2 linked regions of the Callithrix jacchus genome follow. The protein of the gene in region 1 purifies or fractionates together with the protein of each later gene. This does not show direct contact. Links are inferred from orthologs where the notes say so. Each region holds a gene or a part of one and is shown in the gene's direction. Other genes may lie near its edges.

Region 1 (4,357 bases):
GGGCAAACGGTACCTGAGGTAGGAATCCTGTAAGAAAAAGATGCCAGAGGACACTGCTCAAGGCCATTATAGGCCCTCTGCACTTTTATTCTCTCTCCCTGAAATCAGAAGGCTCTCTCCTCCTTCAGACCTTTACTCAGAAGTCACCTTCCCAGTGACTTCTGTGGCCCCCCAATCTAAAATAAAACACCTCCCCTGCAAACATTTTATTTCCACTTCTCAGATTTATTTTTTCTCCTCAGTATTTACTGAAATCTTAAAACTACATATTTTATTTATCTATGTTCTTTATTGTTTACAACTCTCAGAATGAAGGCTGCATGAAAAGAGGAACTTTTTTGTTCTGTTTTGTTTACTACTGTATACCCATTACTAAGAATAGTGATAGACATATACTAAGGCACTCAATAGGTATTTGTTGAATGAATGAAAAAGGTAGTCATTTCCAAGAGGCAAAGTTTACTCTTTAATGAAAAATTTTATAAGAAGCAGTGCTATTTGGCAATATAATCACATTCAGTATGCACAGTACACGACCTCTTGAACAATTCTTATCTAGTCTTCACATCAGCCCAGGATAAAAGGAAGGCTGGGGAGAGATTATGATGCTGGTTGATGAAGAAACTGAGTCCAGAAAGAGGAAAAGGACTTCCCCAAACCCACACATCTGGCCAGGACAGTACTGGAACTGTGGATGCCTGCTGGCCCTGGAAGAGGCTGGTAAGTGATGAAGCTTTATAGGAATTGGGTTTGAAGGACCTCTGTTGCCAGAAAACATGAGTATCTCTAAAGGGGAAGCTGAGTCAGAGGTTACTAGAACAGAGGCGTCAGCAAAGGAATGGGAGAGGTGAAGAGGCTGACCTGTAAGGGGCCCTGGCCCAGGCCTGAGGGAAGCTGATTCCCCCAGCAGCAGAATGCTGTACCGAGGCTGTCATTCAAGTCTGTACATAATCTCCAATATCAGAGAGAACTCAATAGGCAACCTTAAAAGACCAGGGAGTCCACTGCAAGTCTGCAGGGTTTGGCTTCCTGGGACTGTGAGGTCTTCTAGGGCAGCGAGCATATTCATAGATTTATCCCCAGTTTCTAGGAGAGCCTGGAATATAGTAATAGTTGAACTCAAATATTTTTGTTCAGAGCAAAAATTAAGAATGAATGTGCTCAAATGGAAAACTGAAGCTGAGAGAGCACAGACAGGAGGGGCGTAACCTCAACCAGCGATTCCGGGGTAGAAACAGATTAGTTTTCCTGGAATGCAGTAGGACAAATGGCCCTCGTACTAAGAAGTTGCGGTCAGCTCTTCTTCAGAAAGGGTTAACAAGTAAAAGGTGTCTGGGAACAAAGGGGTAGGGGTTAAACGGAGCTGTCGGGGCGGGGCCAGAATGCAGAGGCCGATTGGCTGAGACTCAAGGCGGGGCAGATAGATAGGCGCGGCACACTTCCTTCCCTAACAATAAGACTAAGGTATGTCAACGTCACATCCGGGTTAGTGGGCGGGAGCGGGGGGGGGGGGGGCAACAAAAGGAGACGAAGGACGCATGCGTTTGGTGAGTCCCGGATTCTGGTGGGTTCTTCCGCTCAGGCTGGGTGAAGCGCTTCCGGGTCGCCGCCGGCGGTCGCCTCCCCGCGCGGTAAGTACAGAAGGAAGGCTGCGGCCGTCTCCTTGCCCCTTCATTCCTTCTTACCCCAGAGAAACCCATTTCCTTTGACCCGACTCTTCTGGAGCTCCATATTCAGAGTCCTTAACCCGCAAAGATCTCCAGCTCATTGACCGCTTCCTCGAGACTAGGCCCCACCCCGTCACACAAGATCCGTCATTCATTGGTGTCACTTCCTGTCACCCAGGATTTCTTTCAGTTAATTGGTTCTACTCAGGCCCCGCTTTTTTAGCGTTTAGCAACCCTATAAGGCCAAATTTCTGTCTGAGTCCCGCCCCTACTTTCTTTCTGTTGGTCAACTGCATGGTCATTATCGTAATAAGCAAAGAATGGGCGGTGGCTTTGCGGCGGTGGGTTGGGCTTTCGGAGCCAAGAACTCTGGCCTGTCAGTACTTCTTGGACAAGAAGGTGTTTGCTCTTGTGCCTATTACAAGGGTTGGAAAGCTGAGATACAGGGAAGGGCAGCAGCTGGCCCTGGGTTGGTCAGATAAATTAGGACAAAAGCAGGATCAGGCATCGATTCTTTTCTCCTGCTTATTTCTAGCGCCGGCCTGGATTCCTTTCACCGGAGAATTCTAAGCCCCGACTCACTGTGTGACCTAAAGCCAGTCTCTGCCTGTCGCTGGGCCTCAATTTGCTTGTCCTCAGTTTAATTCAGATTATCTGGCACTCTTGGTCGGCTCCTTTAGCCCCTCAAAGCTGATTGTAATCTTATATGTTAGTTCATCCATTCAGTCTTCCATCTACTTATCCACTTATTCATGCCTCCTAGAATGTCTTACTGAACCCTGCTTGCATATACTACAATTCCCCCACCCCGACATTTGGCCGTGATTCATTAGAGAGGTGGTTAGTGTCCTAAATTTCTGACACTGGGTAGGTGCGGTATGGACCATCATAAAGGGGCAAAAAAAGCAGGTTTTAGTGTACAGAAGAGGTAGTGATAATTTCAGTAGAACCCTGCTACCTCTAATTTTGTATGATTTCATAATGCCAGTCTGCATTCTGGATTTCTATTCCTACACTTGACTCCCATTCCCCTCCCTCCTTCAACAGCCTGCAAACGGCTTTATCCATTATTTACTTAATTATCAGAATAACTTTGAGGGTGGTATAATTGTTATTATCCCCATTTTACAGATGAAGACACTGAGGCCCAGAGAGGTTAAGTGACTCAGCCAAGGTCAAAGAGCTAGTGAGTGGTGGAGCCAGGACTCAAACCCAGGTCTGTCTGATTCCTAGTGGGGAGGCCTGCTTCCCTGGTATCTTCCACCCTATCCCTAAATCAAATTACAACCAAATAAAAATGAAAACAAAACACATTCACTTGACCCTTTCTCCTAGTCTAGGAGCCATGTCCACTTTGTTCCCCTCACTCTTCCCTCGTGTGACTGAGACACTGTGGTTTAATCTGGATCGACCCTGTGTGGAAGAGACAGAGCTGCAGCAGCAGGAACAGCAGCATCAGGCCTGGGTGAGTGAGCACCTAGCACAGCACAGACAGAGACCCCCTTCAGTGGGCCATGACCGAGCCTTACTATGGAGATCTGCCCAGGAAGAGCTTTCGCCATGAGCTGGGAATAATCAGTCTGGGAGCCAGGGAGCCAGGGTTTTCATCTTGTAGTACCCTAATTTACAGGGGGACCATGGGACTTCTGGGCCAGATTAGAGTTCAGGCTACTGACACTCAGCCCAAGCTCTTTTCCCTAAACCATAGGAAATAATTTTGACTATTAATTGAGGATCTAGCAGATGACACTTTCTAGGCTGGTAAGTCTCTCACTTTATCCTCAACATAATTATATGAGAAAACCAAGGCTCCAAGAGTTTAGGTATTTGGATCAAGTTCATAAATGGCAGATGGCAAGAAAGAGATTGAATCTTCCTGAGAACTGGGAGGAAGCGTCTCCCCGACATGTGTGGGTCTTCTTTTGGGTAGAATGGGCCAGTCCCATGCCCCTGACCTGCTCTACTTGGGCTGTGGCCTTGTTCCTCCATGCCTTTGCCCACAGCTCCAAAGCATCGCAGAGAAAGACAATAACCTGGTTCCTATTGGCAAGCCAGCATCAGAGGTGAGTGGCTCTAGCAGGTGGGGACTTTGTGAGTCCCAGGGTGGACCGAGGGTCTGCTCTAATTCTGAATGTCCTGTTTCTGACCTAGAGCAGTTGTGGTTCTCAGATCTTGGTGAAGGCCAAAAAGGGGAGATAGAAGGGGTGGGCACAGGGCCTAGCACTAAGGTCCTGCAGAACATGCACCAGCCTGATAGACTCAAGGAGGGCAGGGTTGAGGGGTCAGAGGGGTGTCATTCATTGGCCCTAAAGAGAAGCTCCAAGTGGGTTAGTTCTTGAACTGGTTCACACAGGCCTGTAGGGTTTACAGGCTTTCTCCTGTCCACCAGCACTATGATGACGAGGAAGAAGAAGATGATGAAGACGATGAGGATAGTGAAGAGGACTCAGAGGATGATGAGGACATGCAGGACATGGACGAGATGAATGACTACAATGAGTCACCTGATGATGGAGAGGTCAATGAGGTAGACAAGGGGTATAGGGGAGGGCCTCTGTTCCTGGGCCCCTGCTCCTGACCCGATTGATGGCCAAAGGGGTACAGAAACCCTGGATCCAGCCAGGGGCAGGATCTGGGGCTGAGGCTGGCTGAGGCCCCTCCCCACCCACACCCAGCCTCCTCTCCAGGTG
Region 2 (4,268 bases), on another chromosome or scaffold:
AAAAAAAAAGAATTGAAATTTTTTTACATTATAAAACTGGTGATATTTAAGTTTAGGAAGGTATTCATTACATCAAGAGGTAAAGATGAACTCACAACTTGCATCTTACCAGAGGTTATATTAATATTTCCAGCTTCGATTCCTGCTTTAAGTCCTTCTTTCCCCAAAATCCCAGATTCTCCTTTGGCCAGACGCTCCCTCTCCTTCTCTTCCAAACTTCCATAATAGATATGTGGCTTCTTCACAACCGGAGCAACTAAGTCATCAGGTGCTTTAGTTTTGGTTGCCTGCTAAATCAAAAATCTGACTTAAACTAACGCTTAATCTTAACAATTTGCTGGACTTCCCCAGAGGATGAAGCTCACCCTGAGTTTCACAGTCCTACTTCCTCTGTAATTGAAAGGACAAATTGGACACTGCTTAAGATGTTCTTCATTGATTTGAGGAGATGAGGGTAGGGGGAGGGTGTTTCAGTCCCTCACTTTGGTTGACAGGATTGATAAAACTAGTGAGGTTCTCTCGGGTATTTTTCTATCAAGGGTTTGCTCTGCAATCTGTTTACTTCATTCTGTTGGAAGTGTGCAATCTCGTGTTTTACGATGCTTCCAGGGTTACTGCTCATCACTGGGGAAGTACCAAATATAGATGAAATAACTAACGCGGTGCTAAAGAAGAACAAGTTACAAGATTACTAGCGTATATATTTCAAACGTTTCTAGACCTGAGGCAGTAGGAGTTAGTAGGTCTCATTAAAGTTCTGAGATCTGCCAAAGGCATCAATCTTGGCCAAGACACTTCCCTATTTCAGAGCACCGTTACTGGATCAGTCCGAAGAGATGTTTGCCCTTCAGGGATGTAGTCGGAGAGGTGCAAATAAGCTATAGTCCACGAAAGCGCTTAGGGATCAGGAAAACGGTGCTCGGCTGTCTAGGACACGGAGTCCCACAGCCTTCCTCCTCGGCCCTCCACCGCCTTCTCCCGTTCCCTAACGGCCCCTTCCCGCAAGGACCCCCTTCCCCCTTCGCGCTTCCTGCCAGAGTGAGCTGAGATCCCGGGCTCTGTACCGTGGAGGAAGCTCGCGAGGAAGCCATGCCGGGCTCTGGAGAAAAGCTACAGCGAAACCTGAGGTCTCCGATTCAGATCGTCCACCGCGCGCCCAGCAGAGCGGATGAGCATCACCGATCGGAAGTGCGTCACCGACCGGACGTGTGCCGAGAGCCGTAGCCGCGCCCGGAGCGGCGCGGAGCATGATGGAAGTCGTAGTAGGAAGCGGTGTGATCGTATTGAGGGGCATGCCTCCTAGAACATCGGAGAAAGCTCGCGCAAGACGAGATTCTGCTGAGAGAGAGGCTCCAAGTAGTCTGGGAAGTGTAGTCCAGTTGGCTTACCAATAGTTTCACTGGGGGAGCGGAGGTTCCGGGAAGGGGCTGAACAGGCTTGAAAAGAGGTAGGTGCGTTGCGTCGCGCGGCTCGGGGCTGAACTCTGGAGCGAGTCGAGGACTTCCGGGGTCCGCCGTGCCACCCGGGCCTACCGGAGCGTTTAAGTCTTCCTGGAGCTGAAGACCTTGTTACCATGGAAATCCTCGCCAGGGATCCGAGGTACAGGCTTGGAGCTAGGGGACAAGGGCTGTTTTTCTCCACAATCCGGAAGTCTTCTTAGGGGCCCCCTCTGAGCTTGATGGCTCCGCGGTGGATTTAGGCTGCTAGAAGAGCTCCCTAGTGCCAAAGTCAAATAAAGACCCGGCGGAAGAGCTTCGGCCTGACTTTGTTGATTTGTCTAGAGCCGGTCGTTGTATCAGATTGAGAGTAAGATGATGGATAGGAAGGTGTCAGATAGCTCTGTACGTCCCTGTGCCCTGCTGGATGCTGGGGAATTAGAGACAAACAAGGTAAGTTTTTTTTTTTCTTTTGAGACGGAGTCTTACTGTCGCTCAGTCTGGGAGCGCAGTGGCGCGATCTCGGCTCACTGCAACCTTCGGTCCACCCCGACCCCGGGTCAAGCGATTCTCCTGCCTCAGCCTCCCGATTAGGTGGGATTACCGCCACCGGCCACCGCGCCCGGCTAATTTTTGTATTTTTAGTAGAGACGGAGTTTCACCATCTTGGCCAGAGTGATCTTAAACTCCTGACCTCGCGATCCACCCGTCTCGGCCTCCCAAAGTGCTGGGATTACAGGAGCGAGCCACCACACCCGGCCAGGATAAGGCTTTTATCTCCACGTGGGAGGTGGATGATTCTCAAAACATTGAGGTTTCCCTAGCTGGCCAGATCCCCATCCAACCCCCTAGAAAAATTACAGTAATAATAGATTTTATTTATTGCACATTTTTAAAATGCCAAGTTATGTTCCAAGAGCTTACTCTTTACTCTGCATTATATTATTCACCAACAATAGCAGAGTCAGATACAGATGAGGAAACTAAGGTCTAGTGAGAGATGAAACTAATTATTCAAGATCAGTGGTGTAGTGGGATTAACCTCTACAGCCACACTATTAACTGTTACTCTATACTTCTTCCTAGTGGAGAGTTTTTCACAGTTTGCAGAAAAGGTAAAATGTATAGCAGATTTTTTTTGTTTTTTGTTTTTTGAGACGGACTCTTGCTCTGTCACCCACGCTGGAGTGCAGTGGCACGATCTCGGCTCACTGCAACGTCCGCCTTCCGGGTTCAAGCGATTCTCCTGCCTCAGCCTTCTGAGTAGCTGGGATTACAGGCGCCCGCTACCACATCTGGCTAATTTTTGTATTTTTAGTAGAGACGGGGTTTCACCATGTTGGTCAGGCTGGTCTCAAACTCCTGACCTCCTGATCTGCCCGCCTCGGCCTCCCAAGTGCTGGGATTACAGGTGTGAGGCACCGTGCCCGGCCCTTACTGACTGTTTTTTATAGATACACTCTAGGGGATTTTAGGGGATGCTGTGGAGAATATACAAGTGATGTCATCAACAAATATTAAACTCAATTGGAGGAGTTGTGTTTTCTCAAAAAACAAACAAAACAAAAACAGTTTTTATTAACATTTACTTTGCGATTTCAGGCTGTGGAATGCTCTCTTGAGCCTGTTTTCTACTTCTTTTTTTTTGTTTGTTTTTGAGTTGGGGGTCTCATGGTGAGATCGTGGCTCATTGTGGCAACCCCAAACTCCTGGGCTCAGGTGGATCCTTCCACTTCAGCCTCCTGAGTAGCTAAGACTGCAGGCACACACTACCAGCCCAGCTAATTTTTTTACTTTTTTGTAGCGACAGGGTCTTGCTAGGTTTCCAGAGCTGGTCTTGAGTCTCCTTTGTGCACTCTTCTCTCTGCCTGCTCTTGGGAGTGAGTCAGCTAAGACATCATTTTCTCCAGGAAGGCTTGCCTGACATCCTTGTCCACCCCACACTCAGCCCAGACTGGATTAGGTGCCCGTGTGATGCCAGTGCCTTACCCTCATCAGAGTTCTCATTATGCAATATCAAAGCTTTCTCTTTGTTTTCTCCACAGATTATGACTGTACCTTTTAACTTTGTAGCTGGAGCACAAGAAGTATTTGTTTAATGAATGACGGACACATTTAGGATCTGTTTAAACGCTGAGAATAATTTTGTGAATTGGTGAGTTGGCGTTTTCATGAGATTTAGCAAACTGATTCTAGCATTCAGGAGTGATCACAAATCTCTGACAGTCCTCATGTAGATTAAATTCAGCGGTTTGTCTACTTTCCCCTCTATACTAAGTTAAGATGTGACAGTTTATTCTTTTAGCTAGAATATTTCTTTGAACGTGACTGGAACATGAAATTAAAGTGATGGTTGCCTGGAATTTCTCTCTTTTAGGCAGTTTGCTATTTTAAATTCTTACAGAATAGTTTTTGGATTTTTCAGAGTTGTGGATCTCCGTCATGTATTAAAAATGTAATAATGACATACCTAAAGACTTAAGAAGTCACTGGGCACAGTGGCTTTGGCCTGTAATGCCAGCACTTTGGGAGGATGAGGAGGGAGGAACACCTGAGCCCAAGAGTTTGAGACTAGCCTGGGCATCAGAGAGAAATCCCATTTCTACAAAAAACACAAAAATTAGCCAAGTGTGGTGGTGTACACCTGAGTTCGAGCTACTCAGGAGGCTGACGCAGTAAGATTGCTTGAGCGCAGTAAGTTGAAGCTGCAGTGAGCTAAGGTAATGCCACTGCACGCCAGCCTGGGCAAAGAGCAGACACTATTTCTTAGAGCAGACCCTATCTCTTTAAAAAAAAAAAAGGACTTTAGAAGTCCATGTGTAAATTCAAATG

Evidence for each region. Proteins that work in one complex are often made in the same cells at the same time.
Region 2: the proteins of ANAPC15 (region 1) and CDC26 purify together in Homo sapiens (affinity purification with mass spectrometry; 3 studies listed by BioGRID and IntAct, with this or other methods). This does not show direct contact. The link is inferred for Callithrix jacchus from reciprocal best matches to the Homo sapiens genes ANAPC15 and CDC26.

Annotation. Positions count from the first base shown.
Region 1 is NC_133511.1:68,833,327-68,837,683, forward strand, and holds the start of ANAPC15 (anaphase-promoting complex subunit 15), read left to right. Parts: upstream 1-1,553; 5' UTR 1,554-1,631; exon of another isoform or gene 1,632-2,066; intron 2,067-2,798; exon of another isoform or gene 2,799-2,883; intron 2,884-3,002; 5' UTR 3,003-3,012; coding exon 3,013-3,132; intron 3,133-3,670; coding exon 3,671-3,730; intron 3,731-4,056; coding exon 4,057-4,194; intron 4,195-4,342; coding exon of another isoform or gene 4,343-4,354; coding exon 4,355-4,357. UniProt on the Homo sapiens protein: Component of the anaphase promoting complex/cyclosome (APC/C), a cell cycle-regulated E3 ubiquitin ligase that controls progression through mitosis and the G1 phase of the cell cycle.
Region 2 is NC_133502.1:161,586,154-161,590,421, reverse strand, and holds the start of CDC26 (anaphase-promoting complex subunit CDC26), read left to right. Parts: upstream 1-1,418; 5' UTR 1,419-1,447; exon of another isoform or gene 1,448-1,889; intron 1,890-3,481; 5' UTR 3,482-3,538; coding exon 3,539-3,591; intron 3,592-4,268. Other genes in the region: PRPF4 (U4/U6 small nuclear ribonucleoprotein Prp4), read right to left, coding at 110-290, 1,065-1,091. UniProt on the Homo sapiens protein: Component of the anaphase promoting complex/cyclosome (APC/C), a cell cycle-regulated E3 ubiquitin ligase that controls progression through mitosis and the G1 phase of the cell cycle.